Linked DNA regions of Kluyveromyces lactis. The protein of the gene in region 1 purifies or fractionates together with the protein of each later gene. This does not show direct contact. Links are inferred from orthologs where the notes say so. Each region holds a gene or a part of one and is shown on either strand. Other genes may lie near its edges.

Evidence for each region.
Region 2: the proteins of HSP78 (region 1) and ACO1 purify together in Saccharomyces cerevisiae (affinity purification with mass spectrometry; 3 studies listed by BioGRID, with this or other methods). This does not show direct contact. The link is inferred for Kluyveromyces lactis from reciprocal best matches to the Saccharomyces cerevisiae genes HSP78 and ACO1.
Region 3: the proteins of HSP78 (region 1) and AIM9 purify together in Saccharomyces cerevisiae (affinity purification with mass spectrometry, with the first as the bait; 3 studies listed by BioGRID). This does not show direct contact. The link is inferred for Kluyveromyces lactis from reciprocal best matches to the Saccharomyces cerevisiae genes HSP78 and AIM9.
Region 4: the proteins of HSP78 (region 1) and PRX1 purify together in Saccharomyces cerevisiae (affinity purification with mass spectrometry; 3 studies listed by BioGRID, with this or other methods). This does not show direct contact. The link is inferred for Kluyveromyces lactis from reciprocal best matches to the Saccharomyces cerevisiae genes HSP78 and PRX1.
Region 5: the proteins of HSP78 (region 1) and NFS1 purify together in Saccharomyces cerevisiae (affinity purification with mass spectrometry; 3 studies listed by BioGRID). This does not show direct contact. The link is inferred for Kluyveromyces lactis from reciprocal best matches to the Saccharomyces cerevisiae genes HSP78 and NFS1.
Region 6: the proteins of HSP78 (region 1) and ACP1 purify together in Saccharomyces cerevisiae (affinity purification with mass spectrometry; 3 studies listed by BioGRID, with this or other methods). This does not show direct contact. The link is inferred for Kluyveromyces lactis from reciprocal best matches to the Saccharomyces cerevisiae genes HSP78 and ACP1.

The regions. Positions count from the first base shown.
Region 1 is NC_006041.1:1,499,325-1,503,626, forward strand, and holds HSP78 (chaperone ATPase HSP78), read left to right. Parts: upstream 1-1,375; coding exon 1,376-3,853; downstream 3,854-4,302. Other genes in the region: KLLA0_E16875g (bZIP transcription factor), read left to right, coding at 1-825; YSP2 (Ysp2p), read right to left, coding at 4,186-4,302. UniProt on the Saccharomyces cerevisiae protein: Required, in concert with mitochondrial Hsp70 (SSC1), for the dissociation, resolubilization and refolding of aggregates of damaged proteins in the mitochondrial matrix after heat stress.
Region 2 is NC_006039.1:1,517,640-1,521,923, reverse strand, and holds ACO1 (aconitate hydratase ACO1), read right to left. Parts: upstream 2,897-4,284; coding exon 530-2,896; downstream 1-529. Other genes in the region: 1-phosphatidylinositol 4-kinase STT4, read right to left, coding at 3,781-4,284. UniProt on the Saccharomyces cerevisiae protein: Catalyzes the isomerization of citrate to isocitrate via cis-aconitate, a step in the citric acid cycle.
Region 3 is NC_006039.1:661,876-665,802, forward strand, and holds AIM9 (Aim9p), read right to left. Parts: upstream 2,451-3,927; coding exon 591-2,450; downstream 1-590. Other genes in the region: PNT1 (Pnt1p), read right to left, coding at 1-312; KLLA0_C07601g (uncharacterized protein), read right to left, coding at 3,266-3,927.
Region 4 is NC_006041.1:1,802,356-1,805,224, forward strand, and holds PRX1 (thioredoxin peroxidase PRX1), read left to right. Parts: upstream 1-1,435; coding exon 1,436-2,185; downstream 2,186-2,869. Other genes in the region: SHC1 (Shc1p), read left to right, coding at 1-832. UniProt on the Saccharomyces cerevisiae protein: Thiol-specific peroxidase that catalyzes the reduction of hydrogen peroxide and organic hydroperoxides to water and alcohols, respectively.
Region 5 is NC_006040.1:421,741-425,316, reverse strand, and holds NFS1 (cysteine desulfurase), read left to right. Parts: upstream 1-1,274; coding exon 1,275-2,768; downstream 2,769-3,576. Other genes in the region: PET8 (Pet8p), read right to left, coding at 1-767; LEU2 (3-isopropylmalate dehydrogenase), read right to left, coding at 3,326-3,576. UniProt on the Saccharomyces cerevisiae protein: Catalyzes the removal of elemental sulfur from cysteine to produce alanine. It supplies the inorganic sulfur for iron-sulfur (Fe-S) clusters. Plays a role in both tRNA-processing and mitochondrial metabolism.
Region 6 is NC_006040.1:238,717-241,114, reverse strand, and holds ACP1 (acyl carrier protein), read left to right. Parts: upstream 1-1,234; coding exon 1,235-1,600; downstream 1,601-2,398. Other genes in the region: guanine nucleotide exchange factor DCK1, read left to right, coding at 1-918; type 1 protein phosphatase-activating protein SDS22, read left to right, coding at 1,977-2,398. UniProt on the Saccharomyces cerevisiae protein: Carrier of the growing fatty acid chain in fatty acid biosynthesis. May be involved in the synthesis of very-long-chain fatty acids.

The DNA.
Region 1 (4,302 bases):
ATGAACAACCTGAATAACATGAATTTAGGGAACCACCATAGTTTAGGTAAGATTGGTGCTTCACCACTTGTGAACTCAACGCTTGGGAACTCCACTACGCCCTCTGTGACCACTACCCCGGTCGGGGCAGAACTAGGCGGTACTGGTCGTATCAACACGAATGGTTCTGGTAACGGTACGTTGATGGGCATGCAGATGCCTATGATGTTGAACAGCGGGTCTGATTCCAATACCAATCCAAATGCGAACGCTAAACTTACAAATAATTCCAATGGCGGCGGCGGTGTCATGTACAACGGCGGTATACCGGGTCTAAATAACATGCCAAACACGGCTTCTCAAAGAATGATGAACATGAAATCCGACCTTACGGATCTCCCAATGAACCCACCTAATAGTAATAATACCACAACCTCCACCAATACTATCAACGGTACCACGGGTATCAACTCTTCCACGACAAACGCAACAGGTAACCAGTCGTCACAGACATCAGGTTCAAACCCGGCGTCGCTACTACAAAACTCCACGACATTGGCTACTTCGACGTTACCTACAATCACAATGATAAATGACGGCGAACGTCTAAATACCGAAGGAGAATTAATTGGAAAGTCGGGAAAAGCATTGCGCAACACCAAGCGTGCTGCCCAGAACAGGAACGCTCAGAGAGCATTCAGACAGAGAAGAGAGAAATATATCAAGGATCTTGAATTCAAGGCAAGAGACTACAACAGAATAGCAGCAGAACTTGAAACTTACAAGGCAGAAAACAGAATGCTCAAGTTCCAACTAGGTCAGTACCAGCAAAAGATAAACCTTTGATGAATCACTGCACCATCGCTCTTAGTTCTAATGTAAATCTTGTTTGACAATAATTAACTCTTAACGCATACACGCATTCCCAATCACAGTTCTCACATCCGCAGTTTTTTCCCTTACGTATCACTTTTTAGTAAGTAATTGACCTGACTTCCTACAAGACATTCCAATTTCTATATTCAAACCTTTTCTCCGTTCCTGCTTGGTACTTTGCTTGTCCATAGTGAACACAAGATCCATATAACTCCCTGCTTTAGTTCCTAATCACGTGCCAAAATTGAACGTCATGTGACCAAAATTCCATGTTTTTCCAGAATTCGGGAGAAAACAACAGAAAGACCTCGGCGGTTGAGACATTTCGAAGTATATAAGAACAAGGGAGAATTCAGAAAAACAACAACAGTAAAGCTCAGCAAGAGGCATACAGTCAGATCAACCACTGATTCAGTTACGTTTGGTCAGATTGTTTATTAATAGCAGCCTTATTCAAACAACTACACAGTTTGCAGGTGAAATAGTGAATCAAGAAATTACAATCAGAGTGGATTAAATAATGCTAAGGTCTGCTGAAAATTTGAATCGTAAGCTAAGTCGGACGTCGCTATTAAAGAACGTTAAAATATATCAACCTAGTATATCTGATGTTGAACTTGGATGTACGTGCCGGTCTTTTAGCAGTTTGGTTCAAAAACCAAACCAAACTACAGTTGGAATAAGCCGGGGTAATAAAGTTATATCTGGTTTAAATATTGGTGCTAGAAGGCCCAATATAAGTAGTATACCGCCCATTTCTACTGCATTCAATGTCGCTTCTGTTCGTAGCTATGCTAAGAATTATAATTTAAATTTGAATAAAGATCAGGAGGGTGGAGAATCAGCTTTACAACAGTTCGGTACGAATTTAACGGAGTTGGCTAAACAGGGGAAATTAGACCCAGTGATTGGTCGTGATCAGGAAATATCGAGAGCTATCCAAATTCTTTCGCGTAGAACCAAGAACAATCCAGTGTTGATCGGTAGAGCCGGTGTCGGTAAGACTGCGTTGATTGATGGTTTAGCTCAAAGAATTGTTGCCAATGAAGTGCCAGAATCTTTGAAAGACAAAGACTTATACGCTTTGGATTTAAGTTCATTGGTCGCTGGTGCTAAGTACCGTGGTGAATTCGAGGAAAGGTTGAAGAACGTTTTGGATGAAATTGATAAGTCCAATGGTAAGATCATTGTTTTCATCGATGAAGTTCACATGTTACTAGGCTTGGGTAAGACAGATGGCTCTATGGATGCTTCGAATATCTTGAAACCGCGTTTGGCAAGAGGGTTACGTTGTATCAGTGCTACCACATTGGATGAATTCAAAATCATTGAAAAAGACCCTGCCTTGACCAGAAGATTTCAGCCTATCATCTTGAATGAACCTTCTGTTCATGATACAATCTCAATCTTGAGAGGTCTAAAGGAAAAGTATGAAGTGCACCACGGTGTAAGAATCACAGATTCAGCCTTAGTTTCCGCTGCTGTGCTATCCAACAGATACATTAACGACCGTTTCCTCCCAGATAAAGCTATTGATTTGGTCGATGAAGCATGTGCTGTTTTACGTTTGCAACACGAGTCAAAGCCTGACTCCATTCAAGCAATTGATCGGGCTGTTATGACAATGCAAATTGAATTAGAATCCTTGAAGAAAGAAACTGATCCCGTTTCTGTTGAAAGAAGAGAGGAACTTGAAAAGGATTTGGAAGTGAAGAAGAAAGAATTGGAGAGGTTGACTGAAATTTGGGAAACCGAAAAATCTGAATTGGATTCCATCAAGACTGCCAAGGAAGATTTAGATAAGTTGAGAACCGAATTGGATATTTGTCAAAGAGAAGGTGATTATGCCAAGGCTTCTGAACTAAGATATGCCAAGATCCCTGAATTGGAAAGAAAAGTAGCACTGAACAGCAAGAAGGATACTGAAAACAACTTGTTACATGACTCTGTTACCTCTGATGACATTTCTAAAGTCATTGCCAAGATGACAGGTATTCCAATGGAAACCGTTTTGAAAGGTGATAAGGACAGATTACTATATATGCAGAATTCATTAAGAGAAAGAGTTGTTGGTCAAGATGAAGCAATCGATGCTATAAGTGACGCAGTGCGTTTACAAAGAGCTGGATTGACCAGTGAAAAGAGACCTATTGCTAGTTTCATGTTTTTGGGACCTACTGGTACCGGTAAGACAGAATTAACTAAAGCTTTGGCAGAGTTTTTGTTTGATGATGAATCTAACGTTATCAGATTTGATATGTCTGAATTCCAGGAGAAACATACAGTATCAAGATTAATCGGTGCACCTCCCGGTTATGTGTTAAGTGAAAGCGGTGGTCAGTTAACTGAAGCCGTGAGACGTAAGCCATATGCTGTTGTATTATTTGATGAATTCGAAAAGGCTCATCCAGATGTTTGTAAAGTCTTATTGCAAGTATTGGATGAAGGTAAACTAACAGATTCTCAAGGTCACCAAGTTGATTTCCGTAACACCATTGTTGTTATGACATCGAACATCGGCCAAGACATTTTGCTGCATGATACCGAATTAGGTGATGATGGTAAGGTTAGCAAGAAGACTAAGAGAAGCGTAATTGAAGCTGTTAAAAAGAACTATCCTCCAGAATTTGTCAATCGTATTGATGATTTGATTGTCTTTAACAGACTATCAAAAGAAGTTCTCCGTTCAATCGTCGATATTAGACTCAAGGAAATTCAAGAAAGATTGAACGACAAGCGTATGACCCTAAATCTAACTGACGAAGCTAAGGATTGGTTAACTGAAAGAGGTTATGACCCATTGTACGGTGCTAGACCTTTGAACAGATTGATCCATAAACAAATCCTAAATCCAATGGCTATTCAATTGCTAAGGGGTCAATTGAGACACGAGGAGACTGTAAATGTGGTTATTGAAGATAGCAAGTTAGTGGTTAAACCAAACCACGATCCCGAATCAAGTGAACTCGGAAATGACAAGCAAGCTGATGTTGAGTAAATCTCGTTGAACACCCGCAATTGCTAACTCTCCAGCGTAATGATCGATATTCTTGACTTTCTGTGCGTTTCCACTGAATTCCTAAATTATGCACCCTTGTTAGACCGCCCCGGTAGTAATTCGATAATAATATTACGGACTGCTTTATGGCCAAATATTAAACTTTTATACATGTAAATACGTACCAAGATGATGCAATCAATATATGAGACATGGACTTTTAGGCAAGGTCAGCTCAATTGACCTCTTTACTTTTGATGGCGGCTAGAAGATATAAAGCCAAATGTGATTAACTATGCCTATGAATATTATATATTAGTTACAAATTGCGATTAAGTCGAGTTATCGGTTAAATTTGCTTTTTCTTTTAGCTTCATTAATTGTAACTCAGTTAATCTGATAACCTCTTTTAAATTTTGCTTCTTATGTTCCACAGCTTTGTTTAAAGG
Region 2 (4,284 bases), on another chromosome or scaffold:
GTTATTAGAGGTGGGTTAACATCCTGCATAAAGTGTGTAATGTCATCTTTTTCGTGTTTTTGGTGAAGTTCGATGGTATAGCTCGGATAAGCCGATACTAAGGGAAAGAAAAAGAAAGAGATAGAGAGATAATACGAATGATATGATACTTTATGATATGAAAAAAAAATGATAATGTTGAGATAGACAGGGTGAATAATAATAAAATGAAGAATGTGTGTTGGTATTTTTTTTTTCGTTAAAGGGTTTTTATGGTTTTGGTTTTTCTAGTATACTACTACTAGTATCTTCTCAATCAATCTTTTTCTTAATTGTATTTGATGATATCAAATCTTTGAAATCTTAGGGAATATTTGAATGGTCTCTAAGAGCAGATGTGAAAGTGCAAAAAACGATGGATAAAAGAAGAGTTAGAAATAAATAATATGGGGGGGTTGTAAGTGGGAGGGAAATTTGTGCTTTGTTTTTGATGTTGATTGAACCAAAAGAAGAGAAGAGGTCAAATTTATACTTGAAAAATTTGATCTATTCAGTTCTTAGCCTTCTTGGCGTTAGCCAATCTGTTCAAAGCAGAACCGGCCTTGAACCATTCGATTTGTTCAGCGTTGAAAGTGTGAGACAATGGGGTTTCCCAAGCTTCACCTTCCTTTGGATGAACTCTCATGATCAAGTTCTTACCTGGAGCTAGAGTAGTCAAACCCAAGATGTCGATGGTGTCATCTGGGTTGATCTTGTCGTAAGCAGCTGGTTCAGCAAAGTTCAAAGGCAACATACCTTGTTTCTTCAAGTTAGTTTCGTGAATTCTTGCGAAGGATTTGGTAATAATAGCGAAACCACCCAAGAATCTTGGTTCCAAGGCAGCGTGTTCACGAGAAGAACCTTCACCGAAGTTTTCACCACCAATGACAACCCATCTGATACCTGCATCTCTGTAAGCTCTAGCAGTGTCTGGAACACCGGCGTATTCACCAGTGTAGTGGTGCTTGACACAGTTAGCCTTCTTGTTTTCAGCGTTAATAGCACCAATCATATAGTTGTTTGAAATGTTTTCCAAATGACCTCTGTACTTCAACCATGGACCAGCCATAGAGATATGGTCAGTGGTGGTCTTACCTAGAGATTTGATCAAGATTGGCATATCGAAAGCATCCTTACCATCCCAAGCCTTGAAAGGTTTCAACAATTGTAGACGGTCAGACGTTGGAGAAACTTGGACAGTAACGGAAGAACGGTCCTTTGGTGGAGCTTGGTAAGTGTTTTCACCTGGGTCGTAACCCTTAACTGGCAAACCAACACCAGTTGGTGGTTTCAACATGAATTCGTTACCGTCCTTGTCCTTCAAAGTGTCGGTTAGAGGGTTAAATCTCAAATCACCAGCAATGGCGAAAGCGGTAGTGATTTCTGGAGAGGCAACGAAGGAGTGAGTATCTGGGTTACCATCGTTTCTAGCAGTGAAGTTTCTGTTGAAAGAGGAAACAATGGTGTTCTTGTCACCCTTCTTGATATCTTGTCTGTCCCATTGACCGATACATGGACCACAAGCGTTAGCCAAAACGGTACCACCGAATTCTTTGAAAGTTTCCAATTGACCATCTCTAGCGATGGTAGCTCTGATTTGTTCAGAACCTGGAGTCACAGTGAAGATAGACTTAGATTTTAGACCGTGGGTAGCAGCATCCTTAACGACGGAAGCAGCTCTGGACATATCTTCGTAAGAAGAGTTGGTACAAGAACCGATAAGACCGACTTTAACTTCTAGAGGCCAGTTGTTCTTGACAGCGACATCCTTCATCTTAGAGATTGGAGTAGCCAAATCTGGAGTGAATGGACCATTGACATATGGTTCCAAAGTGTTCAAATCGATTTCGATGATTTCATCGTACTCAGCACCTTCATCAGCGGACAACAAATCCTTGTGGTACAATTGAGCGAATTGAGCAATCTTGTCTCTACCAGTAGCATCCAAATAGTCAATCATAGACTTGTTGAATGGGAAAACGGATGTAGTGGCACCGATTTCAGCACCCATATTACAGATGGTACCCATACCAGTAGCACTGAAAGTGTCAACACCGTCACCGAAATATTCAACAATCTTACCAGTACCACCTTTGACGGTAGTGATACCAGCCAACTTTAGAATAATATCCTTTGGAGAAGTCCAACCGTTCATTCTACCGGTCAACTTAACACCCATAATCTTTGGAGCCTTCAATTCCCATGCCAAATCGGACATGACATCGACAGCATCAGCACCACCAACACCAATAGCCAATTGACCTAGACCACCAGCATTTGGAGTATGCGAATCGGTACCAATAATCAAAGCACCTGGGAAAGCATAGTTTTCCAAAACGATTTGATGGATAATACCGGAACCTGGCTTCCAGAAACCCATATTATATTTAGCAGTAGCAGTAGCCAAGAAATCGTAAACTTCCTTGTTGATATCAATGGCTCTCTTCAAATCCTTTTCACCACCAATTTGAGCTTGAATCAAATGGTCACAGTGAACAGTCAATGGCTTAGCAACTTGAGGTAAACCTGCTGACATGAATTGCAAGATAGCCATTTGAGCGGTAGCATCTTGACAAGCAACACGATCTGGTCTCAATTTCAAATAAGAAACACCTCTTTCGATTTCTTGACCATGAGGATCATCCAAATGACCGTACAAAATCTTTTCTGCGTATGTCAATGGACGTCCTAGTCTTTCTCTGACGATATTGACATACTCAATGTTTTGTTTATAGTTAATGAAGGAATGGTCTTCCAACAAATTTTGATGAACTTTAGAGTCTCTAGTCATAGTACTAGAGACTCCGGTAGCCAAGTGTCTGATGACTCCTTGTCTAACGACTCCTTGCTTCTTCAAGGCAACACGAGCAGACAACATTATCTCAGTGCAGTTTAAGCGGGGTTTAATCCTTGATAGATGTAATACTATTAAAAACTGAAAATACTAAAAAAAAACCGCTGAACCTAATAAATACAGAAACAAATTGAATAACTCCAAGGAAAAGAAGAATCTAACAAACCGATAATGCTATATTATATATATAATGCCAAAATCTTCAACACATTTAGCCAGTATTAATTAAAAAACTAAAAATTACATCACGGTATAATGCTTTGCCCACTGTTTTTACAGTCATCATTTGATCCATTTGATCATTCACTGAGGGATTGAAACAGGAAAGCCTGTAAAAAATAATGAAACCAGAATAAACCAGAGAGGGAGAAAAAAAAAAAAAATTTCAAAAGCTGTTAAAGCCAAATGATGGTTCTAAGCTGTAGTAGCGAGCGGTAGAAGTGCCAGTAGCGGACGAGTCGAAACGACTGAATAAATGGAGTTTTAAAGGGGAATAAAGGATAGGAAATGAAAGGGCGCGGGGGTTTCTGCGCAGCGCGGTTAAAGGGTGGTGAGATACTTAGAATGGTACGTACGGGTGATTATGTGAGCTGGGGCCAGGACCGATTGTGATTGGCCAGTGGGCATTTTACGCTCGTTTGTCGAAGGGGCCGATGATGGGCGAGGCAAAAAAGGATGAAGAGCGGCTTCGGTTTCTCCATACATCCTTGCTTTTGTTTTTGTTTCGGGGGCGAGGGCGGTGGAGATATGGACCAAGGCCGAGGATCGGAAAAGGTAAAATAGTTTACCGAACTTGGGATGACCGAAGTTCGGTTTGCAGGGTAACAGAGTGGTACGGTATGGAGACCATGCCCGAGGATCGGGCATGGTTGTTGTTGTTGTTGTTGTTGTTGTTTTTTTTCCACTCTTCAATATGGAATTCCGTTCGTCAACCTTTGGAACTCATCGTAACCCTTTGTAAACATCGATTCGTAGGACCGGCGGATCAACTGTCTCATATGTTGGGCGGCTTCCTGAGGAGACTTACCCGGAACAAACCTGTTTCTCAAGTTCTTGATTGTCTTTTGTGCTTTAAAGCAGGGTAAGCTGCTCTCTAGCATGGGTACTATTCCATCGATGATCACGTTCATGTAGGGTCTTATACCTAGGAAAGTTGCAACGCATAGATCTTCGAATTGGCTGAACGCCTGGGTGTGTTGGCTACCGCCCATGACTTTGACCATCTCTTTTGTTAGCTTGAAGGGCACGGCTTCGAATTTCACTCCCCCAGGCACGATATCGAATATAAAACCGAAATCAATGTGTAGACAATGGCCCTGTGAGTCGTACATGATATTACCGTTGTGTCTATCCTTGAATTGTAGTAGGTAGGAGATGACGCTGTAAGCGGCTAAGGATTTCACGAAGTTGTT
Region 3 (3,927 bases), on another chromosome or scaffold:
TCGAAACCATTTCACAAGAGGTTTTCTCCAGTTTGAAATAGAGTCATCCTGTTTAACCGCATCAGTTATTTTTGTAGTAGGAATATGTGTTACTGGTAATGTCGCACTCACATTTAGATTAGTTTCGGGGCATTTGTCAGAGTATACTTTTATAGCTATCTTTCCATTTTGATTCAGTTGGTATAGACGATTCAAAAGAGCGTTTGAAGCTAAAGATTCTTTAAACGCAGAGTTCGAAGATATATCGATTGGTGTTCTCTGTGTACTGTATCCGCGCTTGACGATATATCCAACCCTGTTGGCCACAGTCATTGGCTTGAGTCGTTTTGTTTACTTGGGCACTTCAATATCATATTAAAACCCAGCCAGATATTATGATAGTAATTGTTGGAGTTATTTTAGCATAAATGGAAATTTAGAATTTCATAGCTTAAACTGGATAATACAGGAAATTAGGCCAACATTCTTTGATTTCATATAATGATGGTCACAAGAACGCTCCTCTGCTGTAAACCAGGAAGGCAAAAAAATTTATAGCTATAGAGTTGTTCAGAATATTTATTTACAAGAAGAAAAGTCTGTTCGCAGATTTAGGCATCTTCCGTGCGAGAAATAACGTAATCTCCTTTCTCATTTTTTACCAAAATGCCACCTTGAACTAGGTTATCAAACATATCTTGTGGCATCCATCCTTGGGTAGCGGCAAATGGTTGGGAAATCAGTTTCTCATGATAAGCGTTCAATGCATCAGCATGCTTTTTGACTTCTTCTTCGGAATATTTTAGTGGGTATTCAGCGGCATTTACTAATTTGTTATTAGCGAAGATCGGCCAGACTTCAGCCAATTGAAGAAGAGCTTCTTCAATCAAAAGGTATTCTTCGTCGGACTTTCTTTCGATGGCAGCCACATAAGGGTTTCTCAAAACTTTGATTGGTGGAGCGACAGAAGAGATCAATTCAGGTAAGTTTTCATTTAAAGCAAACTCCCATAAAAACTGGTTACGAGTACGCTTGTACATGAACTCAAGTTTGGCTTTTTCCGATTCTTCCATGTCCTTGTACCCTTCAATATCCTTTTCTAGGTCATAGATTTTTGGTCCATCGTAGGCAACAAATTGAGGAGTGTTTTGTAAAATGTAAGGCTTAATGGATGATCCTTCAAAGTCCAATAAGTAAGGAACATCATCATCTTCTTTTAAAATAACATTCATTGGGTCTAAATCTGGATGATGTAAACGAGGCTTTAAAAGATTCTCCATTTTCGGAATAGAAGTGGTTTTAGTATTAATTAGATCTGGGGCAACTTTGGCAAGATTATCAAAAGTCTTTATTTGATCTTTCAATATATCTTCGGCGACAACTTCTGGCGATGCGTGAGCTTGGACAAGACCTAGTCTAGCACGAGCGTTTTCCGCTTCCAGTAATCCTGTACATTTGACGATATCTAAAGGAGATGATATATCCCATGGTCCTAAATATTGTTTGCGGTCATCGAAGTTCAAAGTAGACTTTTTTCTCCATAAGCATCTTTCAACACTTGGGCCAATTCTCCATCTATCTTTTAATTCTTCATTTGTTTCACCTTCATAAGCCGACTCTTCAGAAGTTTTGTAATCCTTGGCAAAATATAAACTTCCGAAGGCGTTAAACTTAACTTCTGCGAGCTTGGCCTGGAACTTAGAAATAGGATTAATGACAGCATTTAACTTATCCTTATGAGATTTGCCATCCTCGGCGTCATTCTCCAACGGAGTCCAACTTCTCATTAGAAGCGTACCTTCTATATATTCCTCCAAAATGAAAGGCTGTCTGACAGGGTTCAAAGCATTAACACCGAAACTGTAAACTTTTGGAACTTTAAGACCCAGTTTGAGATCGGCAAAATCCATAGTGGCCACTTCACTCTTCAATCTGTAAGCAAGGGTATTTTCATCGTCCAATGCGTATGGAATTCTTAAAACAAAGGACTTTTCGGCGTTGGTATCAATTTTGTATATTCTGTGATGCTTACCTTCATGGATGCTAGCCATTGACACAATTCTGATCTTTTCATTGGGATTAACTGTCCCGATATTCTCAATTTTAACATTGTGTGGGAGAGAAACAGTTAAGTTTGGTAAATAAGCTGGTGGTGGAATGCTGCTTTTCGATAATCTTTTAGCGTTTTCTATGGATTGCTTATACAAATCATCAATCACGCTGTTCAAACCCTCGAGAGAGAACTTAGTAATTCTCTTCTCCTTTTCTTGTTTATCATTCTTCAACCATGTACCCCATGAGTATTTGAAGAAAGCATCCCTCTGCGGATCATTTTCATCAGATAACTTTGTGAATACCTCTTCTGGCTTATCTGATACTGAGCGAACGAATAGCTTGCCAATTTTGGTGCTAGAAACTCGCAACGAACTCTTAGGCACACTTCTAACGCATCTGGAACCGATTCTTAACATTTTCACTGTCAATTGTGGACCTTAGCGTCTTAGGAGTATAGCTGTCAACGGTTTAAGTGTCATCCAATAACATATCTCTGTGAATGTTCGCAGTTTAACGTCTTAAATTGTGACTGGCACTGTAATTAATTTCTGTTCGCTATTATCATCGGAGTCAGGGTAAATAAGGTTAAATTGACTGACGTTACAAAGTAGAAATGTATAGATCCCCTCCTGGACAAACACCTTGAAGGAAGAAGGAGTATGTAATGAGCTGATTAGTTTATCATTGACATTTGTAATCACTCTTCAATTAAATCGGACTGCTAGTGTTGGCTGTCGTTTATTTTAGTTATATTGCTCCTAAAGTATATGATTTATTCCTAGTTAAACACTTTATGATAGAAACTTAGTTTAGATATTGAAAACTTAAACTCAGTTCTCAAAGATAATAGCATAATGAGGACTGACACATCTTTGCCGAGGTACCGTAGGTGCTAAAACTAGGAGTAAACCAACATTACTAAAGTAAATAAACGTGATAATATGAAATACATAGAGGCGTCAAAATGTTCCGTGTAAAATAATCCAACACTCCAGATAACCAATGAAAGAAACAACAAATAAATGAAATGAAGATACATAAAAAAACTCTGAAATGAAGTGAATGGAGATAAATGAAACGCTTGTGGCGTTAGAGGTTTTAATTTTTACAATTGTGTTCGATTTTTTTTTTAGAGTGTGCTTTTTTTTGAATTTGTTTTTTGTTAAGTTAGTCCTGCTCTTTGAAGAAGATGTCTCCTCGTGTGTTTACTAAAATCCTTGTGTGTAGTATTCTAATCGTTGTCACTATCAGCAGCAACCAGAACTGAGGGTATGTTTTTCATGTCATGCAAATACGACATATCATCGCCCATTGTGCTCAAATTAGTTTCCAATTCGCTATTTACCCTAGGAATAACGTTGGGATTATTGAAATCATTCAACAGGTTTTCTTGCAGCTCTCTTGGCTGTTGTTGCAGTTTCGAAGGCGTGAGCGACTCACGAGACATGCCGTTCAAAGAAACACTGTCTAACCTAGAATCCTCAACACCTGTTCTTGACAAAGCGTCTGTACTTAATAATTTAATCTTTTCTCGAAGAGTCATGGGTGGACCAATAGGAGAATCAAGTTCGTCTGCAACGTTCGACCCATTATTTTTTTTTGGTTTCCAGTAGGATTGCGACATGGAATTCAACAGATTAAGCGAGTACTGTGGGATTCCATACCTCTGTACCCTTCTCCCCTCAACACCATCTTTTGTTGCCGTCATAGATAGCCCTGACGTTACACTAGACCTCGAAAGAGGTCTCGAAATCGTGGGTACCAAATGTTCATCTCTCTCCTCATCTTGATATCCATTATCATCCGTATCTGCCATGTCTGCCTCATATATCGCCTTCATAGATGAATTATCCATACTTTGATCATTCAACGATAGATTAGAGTACAGATCTT
Region 4 (2,869 bases), about 300 kb from region 1:
TAACGAAGTAGTTCCACAGGATACACTTCTTAGTGTAAATTATTATACAATTGCATCACACGGTGGGGATCCAGAGGCTATGATGGGGTTATGTGCATGGTATCTAATCGGAGCTAAGCCTGCGTTTGTTGCCGATGACAATGAAGCATTTGAATGGGCGCTGAGGGCGGCCAAGTTAGGTTATCCGAAGGCTCAATTCACAGTTGGATATTTCTATGAAAAGGGGAAAGGATGTGAACCAAACACTGAAAATGCTATGAAATGGTATCAGTTAGCTGCTGATAACAAGGATCCGAGAGCCTTGAACAAACTGAAGATTAAAGATCGTTCCTCAAGAAAGTCGAAGAGTTTAAGTACATTTAATTTCAATTTCTTACTGGACAACAATGAAGAAAAGGGTAAAAGAAAATCGTTCCATCTGAATTTGGACCAAGATGATAAGCCGGGAACTTTTGTTGATATGGAGCAAAATCTGACGGATCCATCTAAGAAAAATAAGCGGAACAATTCGATACCCGTTGAACAACTGCAGCATCCACAACAAGAAACCCCAAGCACATTGTCTGCTTCACTACAAAAGCAGTCTGCGATGGAACATCAGAATACCCTGTCAGCTAGTGGTCAGAAGAGCTTACATGACCAGGATGTAGAAAAGACACCTAATTTAAGATCTCTTTCTGACCCCAAATTGGACAAGATCTCCATTCCTCAAACTAAACCAGCTCTTGGAGAAAATGAAAAGAACGGCATCGATTCAATTAAGAAGAACTTAAAGAGCAAGAGTAAACGTAAGAATGGGGAAAAGACCAAGAAAGGTTGCGTGATTATGTGAGCTAAGTAGAAATAGGGAAACTATCTACAAGCAACTGCATGTTTTTCTCAGTTTATTCTTAGAACTTATAGACCTCGGCCATCTCAATGTATAAATCATTGTATTTAAAATCTGGATATCAGTAAAATAGTTCGGAAAATGCATATACATCATTATTAGTATATCTTAATGGCAAAGAAATGACAATGGTTCATTTATTCTTCAAAGCATAATATGTTCTTTTCAATGTTTAAAGTCAACTCAAGGCAAGAAAAGATTAAACTTCTAGTTAAACATTGAAAGACCAAGAGGTAAATCTTACTGTCATCAAGGCCAAATCACGTGATCGTAAATCTTGGCCTTTTTTTCATGTCTTCAATTTTCAGCAAAACATACTGCATTTACCGTGAAATAGATTTGTAAAGAAACAGAAAATCGTCCAGTATATGGGGAGCCACAGTTAATACATTGCAACAACATTTACACCATATATAAGGGGAAGAAGTTCTTACTAACAAAGTTATACCATTGATAGTTCTCCAACTTTTTAATTGAACAACTTTCATCGATTATAGCGACATATTAGACCTGCCAACTCACGTAGTCAGATAAACACACTTCAAGATGATGTTCCAACGTGCTTTGCTTCAAACAAAGAGTTCTGTATTGCGCCAGCAACCTCTCAGAACTTCTGTTAGATTCATCAGAACTTTCAAGCAAGAAGACCAACCAAGATTGAGAATCAACTCTGTTGCTCCAAATTTCACAGCTGATACTACTGCGGGTAAGGTCAATTTCCATGAATACATTGGGAACTCGTGGGCTGTTCTTTTCTCTCACCCAGCTGATTTCACCCCAGTGTGCACAACTGAATTGGGTGCCTTTGCCAAGTTGAAGCCAGAATTCGACCAAAGAAACGTGAAGTTGATTGGTCTATCTGCTGAAGGTATAGAATCCCATCAAAAATGGATCAAGGACATTGAAGAAGTGTCTCAATTAGACAAGTTCACTTTCCCAATCATCGCTGATGTTGACAGAGAAGTATCTTTCCTATACGATATGGTCGACGAAGAAGGTTTCAAGAATTTGAACAATGGAATCGTTGCTACCATCAGATCCGTATACATCATCGATCCATCAAAGAAGATCAGATTGATTATCACTTACCCAGCCTCTGTCGGTAGAAACTCCTCCGAAGTGTTGAGAGTCATTGACGCCTTGCAAAAGGGTGACTCCAAGGGTGTTGTCACTCCAATTGACTGGCAACCAGGTCAAGATGTCATCATCCCACCAACTGTGTCCGATGCTGATGCGTCCAAGAAGTTCGGTGATTTCAAGACTATTAAACCATACTTGAGATTCACCAAGGCATAAGTTATAATTTCAAACCGTTATGTCCCCTATATACACTTCAATTAGACATGAGGATGAGGTAAATAAACTGTCAGAAGAAGAGCTGACCCAGCTAGAATTCGGTTGCAGACCATTGCTTACTCATGATTCCGGAGATGTTATTTTATCATTATATACGAACAATATTCTAACCACATACCTAAATTCCGGCCTGCAAACCTGCTTAACAGAAGCACTATTCCAACTGTGCTGGGAACGGGACTGAAGAGTCGAGAAACCTATTTGTCTCACAAAGACACTCACAAAAATAATTGTCCTACCCGTTTGGCTGCTACCTTTATTTAGCTTTTTACCCTTAAGAACGCCTTTTCTCGGACCTTTGACCTTCGAGAATAATACTCACATTCATTTCAATAAAGCAATTAGTTATTAAATTATAAAGTGATCTACTCCGCACAAAGGTACAATAAGATGTACAATTGAGATACATGGCGGAATGTAACAGAACGTAAAGTAAGGGTGCCGGTCTCTTGACCATGAACGTTACAAACGCAAAAAAATGAGTCGCATCTCTTTTCAGTTTTTAAAATCCGAGGCGAATCTTTCTATATAACACGGGCTAAATTTCAAGGAAAGACAGGAATGTTTTTAGTCTATATATCTAGGCAGAATGGGAACAGCGGCAATCTACAACAGTTAGTACAG
Region 5 (3,576 bases), on another chromosome or scaffold:
ATCCACATTGTTCTTGGTCCAACACCACTGAAAAAGACCTTGACACCTTCTTCTTGCAACATAGTCTTGGCCAAATGAAGAGCTGAGACGGACTTATGGTGCAACATGATTCTCGTCTTCAACACATCTAATGGCGTCGTGGCAGCAGCAGCGATCCCACCGGCTATACACCCACAAACAGACCCCTGCCAAGGCGCGGCGCGCTCTTTACCTTGCACCTCGGCCCACCTCTTCTTCATATACTCATACAATGGGAATTGAATACATGTAAACGGGATTTCCCTCATTATGGTAGTGGACCAGCCACGGTACAGATTCCTGCGCAAACCTTCTCCGTTCTCATTACGTAGTAACGCCTGCAAAGTTTGCAAAGAAGAATTTGTCCTATGAGTCTGTGTCCGTTGCTTGATCACTTCAGCAGGAACACGAACCATACATGCAGAAATCTCACCAAAACTAGAAGAGACCATATGCGAAAGCGTATCTGCCGTTTGATCTTCACCTTTTGGCAAAAGCTGACCGATAACAGGCCGCGACCAGCACTTCATCGAATCATACGCAACGAAAAACAAAGAAGCACTTGGTGCACTCGCAACAACCGCGCTCCCAAGACCACGGTACACACCTTTGTATCCACCATTGGCGAAAAACCCACCTTTAGCTTGTAACCGGGTTTTCAAGGTGTCTATTGGGAAAAATGCCAGATCGGTCGACGTTCCTGCTGCGGCACCACTCACCAAGGACGCAATAAACATCTGAGAATCCATTTCGCACTATTCCCCCAAACTCCGATCTATAAAAGACTCGTCTGAGTCTGTAATTGATGTACAATTCGTCTTTCAAACCAGGTGATGGTGCAACAAATGCAAATCTTTAAATCATACATATGTATATGTTCGGTTCACTGCTCTGGCTTCTTTTTTTTTCAACATAGGATTTGAGGAAAAAAAATCGAGAAATGAAAATAATTGGAATTTGGGAGGGAAACACATCTTGACTAATGCAAGAATCAGAATCAAAATAGAGGAGAAGAAGAGTTTAGAGAGCAACAAAGGGTCTATATTCTCAGTTGCGTATTAGGAAATTGTCTGATAGTACAAGACCTAATTTTAGAAACAAGAATTGATTGATACATTCAGTGTACTTTCAGTGATATCCCAGGTTTTTTTGTTCATTGTTTTTAAGGACAAAAGCTCGGTTTTAAAAGGAGTTATAGTTCTAAGATCGTATACAAGTTTCAAGCAACAGTCTACTATCCTAAGATAGATATTGTAATGACGATGACATTGTTAAGAGGAGTGAGTGTTTTTTCCAGGCGTGTGCCCGTTGCTGGTGGTTTTGGCTATTTGAAGCGTGCTGATATTAGTAACGTTGTTTTACAGGGACGGACGTATGCAAGTGCCAAGGTTGCCTTAGCAGAAGATTTGACTTTGGAAACGCATACAGATAACCAAGCAGCAGCTATTGAGCAAGCCAACGAAAGAGCCGTGTCAAATCCCGATGTTTTGGACAGTGGTATACATTCTTTGCAACATGCATACCGTGAATCCGGGGAATACGGTACAAGACCTATATATCTCGACATGCAAGCTACCACTCCAACAGACCCAAGAGTTCTAGATACCATGTTGAAATTCTACACGGGGCTTTATGGTAATCCTCATTCAAATACTCATAGCTATGGTTGGGAAACTAACAAGGAGATCGAACAAGCAAGAAAATACATCGCCGATGTTATCAAAGCTGATCCAAAGGAGATAATCTTCACTTCCGGTGCTACAGAATCAAATAATATGGCTTTGAAGGGTGTCTCAAGGTTTTACAAGAAGACAAGAAACCATATTATCACTACAAGAACTGAACACAAGTGTGTGTTAGAAGCCGCCAGAGCTATGAAGAACGAAGGATACGAAATCACATTTTTGAATGTTGATGAGCAGGGTTTGATCAATTTAGAAGAGTTGGAAGCTGCGATCAGACCTGAAACTTGTTTAGTTTCTGTTATGGCCGTCAACAACGAAATTGGTGTTATGCAACCATTGAAAGAAATTGGTGAACTTTGTAGAAAACGCAAAGTTTTCTTCCATACCGATGCAGCGCAAGCTTATGGTAAGATACCTATCGATGTGAACGAAATGAAAATAGATCTGATGTCCATTTCCTCACACAAAATTTATGGTCCAAAGGGAATTGGTGCCATTTACGTTAGAAGAAAGCCAAGAGTCAGATTAGATCCGCTTATCTCCGGTGGTGGTCAAGAAAGAGGTTTACGTTCTGGTACATTGGCTCCACCTTTGGTTGCCGGCTTCGGGGAAGCAGCAAGATTGATGATGAAAGAATACGAGAACGACTCAAATCACATTAAAAGATTATCTGACAAATTAATGAACGCTTTGTTATCTATTGACCATACAATCTTAAACGGTTCTGCTGACCATCGTTACCCAGGTTGTGTTAACATTTCATTCGCATATGTCGAAGGTGAATCCTTATTGATGGCTCTTAGAGATATTGCTTTGAGTTCTGGTTCTGCTTGTACTTCGGCATCTTTAGAACCATCTTATGTGTTGCATGCATTGGGTAAAGATGATGCTTTAGCACACTCTTCCATCAGATTCGGTATTGGTAGATTCACCACTGATGAAGAAATTGATTACGTTATCAAGGCTATCACGGAAAGAGTTGATTTCCTAAGAGAGTTGTCCCCATTATGGGAGATGGTCAAGGAAGGTATTGACTTGAACTCCATCGAATGGTCAGGTCATTAAGCTGGAACAAAAGTGATCTATATCATAGATTCATCATTTTATTTTCTTGCTAGAGTGCATACCAAATCTTTATCTGGTTTCTCAATTTACATGATCTCCCGTTATAACTCGGGGAACTACTACCGTATATACTTTGTTCCTCGATTTCAAAGTACAATCATAATCTCATCTGACTTATCGTTTTTTCTTTTATCTTTCTCTTCATCTCAATATTATGATTAGATTGTTTTGTAAGCTTTTCTACCTGAAATATGCACCAATATTCAGAATATCTCGTTTGCCAGTTTTTATACAAGTCTTTCTATAGTTAAGTATAAAAATGTTATGTTATTAACGTTCAAATGCTCAATCACATCTGGACAAGCAAATTTCCTTGTCTTCAGTTCATTTTGGGTATGCTCCTTTAGATTTAACACATTGCAGGCTAACCGGAACCTGTATTATTTAGTTTATGCTACGTTAAATAAAGACCTTTCGTTCACATAACTGAATGTGTAATGGCCTTGAGATTTCAAGCATACCAAGTTGGTGGAGACGGGGTCGTTACAAAAGACTCTTTAAGCCAAGATTTCCTTGACAGCCTTGGCGATAGCATCGCCAACCTCAGTGGTAGAGTTAGAACCACCAAGGTCACCGGTTCTGACACCTGCATCCAAGACATTTCTAACAGCTTCTTCAAGAGCCCTACCTTCTTCAACCAAATCCAAGGATAACTTCAACATCATAGCTGCAGATAAGATGGTAGCAATTGGGTTAACCTTGTTTGCTGGTAAATCTGGGGCAGAACCATGACATGGTTCGTACAAAC
Region 6 (2,398 bases), on another chromosome or scaffold:
AGGTTGCAAATATCAGACGAGTATGCCACCAGTGACAAGAAGAATGACAATAACAAGGTCAGATTGTACGTAGAAAACAGGGATTTGAAAACGTTTAGCAGTTCTAGAAGAGTTGCTGGGACACACGGAATCACTGATCTATGGGTAATAGAGTATATTTTTGAAACGAAATCCACTTTCCCAACATTAATGAATAGATCCGAAGTTGTGAAAGTCACTGAGAAACGTCTATCACCAATCAACAACGCCATCAAGTCGTTACAACAAAAGATCCAAGAACTGAGCGGACTTGAAGACATGTGCTATAAACTAATGAAAGAAAACGGCGATTGTTCTGAAGTATTTTCAGAACTGTCAAGAAATATCACAGGTACCATTGATGCACCTATTAACGGTGGTATTGCAGAGTATCGTGTATTCTATACGGATGAAGAAACCAAATCGAAACTAGATCCTGCTGATGTGGAATTATTAGTTGCTGCGTTCAACGAATTGACCATTGTCCTAAACCGTTGTCTCGCACTACACGGACAGCTGTGTCCAATCAGCTTAAGCAAGTCACATACGCTTTTGAAGGACTTATTCGCCAAGAATTTCGAAAAAGAGATCAAAGTTAGCGGAATCGATATCAACGAGACCAACGACGAAATAATCGCAAGAATAAAATCAATCCAGTCATCTCAGCAAAGTTTTTCCAAGAGAAGTAGTATGCTAATGTCAAGATCCATATTCTCAGAGAGCCACTCTATCAGATCTGCTGGAAGTAACGGAAGTGCAACAAAAAACAGTATGCATGATCTCACCGTTACCTCTTCCCATAGAACTACAAAAAGCAACGCGCCATCTCACGCAGCGTCACATGCTACGAGAATATCTCGTCCTACCACACATATCAGCATGCTAAGAAGCACAAGATAGCATAGAATAACTTTCTCCCACTGCAACTGTTCTAATTCTCACCTCATGTAGTCTATATAACAATCCAAATACATTTAGGAAAACATCAAAACGTACGGAGTGATTTATGTGCCTAAGCAATTTTTCCCGGTAAAAAATCGATCAAAAGCCAATTCTTTGCAGAGAGAGAGTTTGGATTAAACCTTTCTACCACAACTATTTTCAACGATCATTTGTTGTACATTCTTTTTATTTTACATTCGATTATTTCAGATCGTTGTTACTGTACAGTATAGTGTCTAGTGATATTACAGAGAGATAAAGAAGGAAAGCAAAGATGTTTAGAAGTGTATTCCGTGCTGCCCCAAGTTTGACCAGAGTTTCTGGATTGAGAAGCGGATTTGTAAAGCCAACTTTTTCAAGTGCTTCCAGGTTCTATGCTTCTTCTTCTCTATCCAAAGAAGAAATCACAACCCGTATTGCTGATGTGATTAAATCTTTTGATAAGACAGCTTCTGCTACTTCGATTACTGCTAACACTCAATTTTCCAAGGATTTAGGATTAGACTCATTGGATACCGTTGAATTGTTGGTTTCCATTGAGGAAGAATTCGATATCGAATTCCCAGATAAGGTTGCAGATGAGCTCAAGTCTGTCGGTGAAACTGTGGAATACATCGCTTCCAGCCCGGAAGCTAACTAAGCAATTGGGATCCGAAACGTTGCCCTTCGGTTTTACCAGAATTTAATGTGGAAGAATGTACATATATTGACACACATATATAACTTATAATGAAAGATAAGATAGTTTTGATGAACTGTTTCATGGCCAAAGTGCTATATGTAAACGTCTATTTGTATATCCTTATTACTCCATATGTTTGAACTTGATTTCCATCGGGTCATATGATTTGTAATTCAAACATTTTTCCTTGCGCCCAATGATCACTGAGTTCAATTTTTAAGGTTATGTAACATGCAAACCACATCTTTAGACAGACGGTTGTTGAGGTAAAGACAATGGTTATAAACGCCATTTAGTATTAGATCCGAACCCATATACTTCCAATATATAAAAAATGAGCCGTGAAGAGAGAGTTTTGAGTGATACTGATAATGAAAATACGAATGAGGAAATAGAGACTGGTATTGATTCCCCGGACGAATCATCTTCAGGGTTGTTCACAGCGGGACGCTCGTTACAATCGAACGTCATAGAAGACCACAACCCTGACTATATATCTGCAGATGCAGAATTGGCCGCAGAGATACCAGATGACACCGAAGTAATTGACTTAGTGCATTTGAAAGTACTGGCGTTGGAAGACTTGAATTTGTTGAGATTTAAGAATTTGAAGAAGTTATATTTAAGACAGAATTTGATCGAGTCAATAGCTGAACTGGAGGTACTACCGTTAGAAAACATGGAAGAGATTGATTTTTACGATAATAGAATCAAACACATCTCGAAAAGCGTTAATCTTTTCTCTAATCTAAAGAC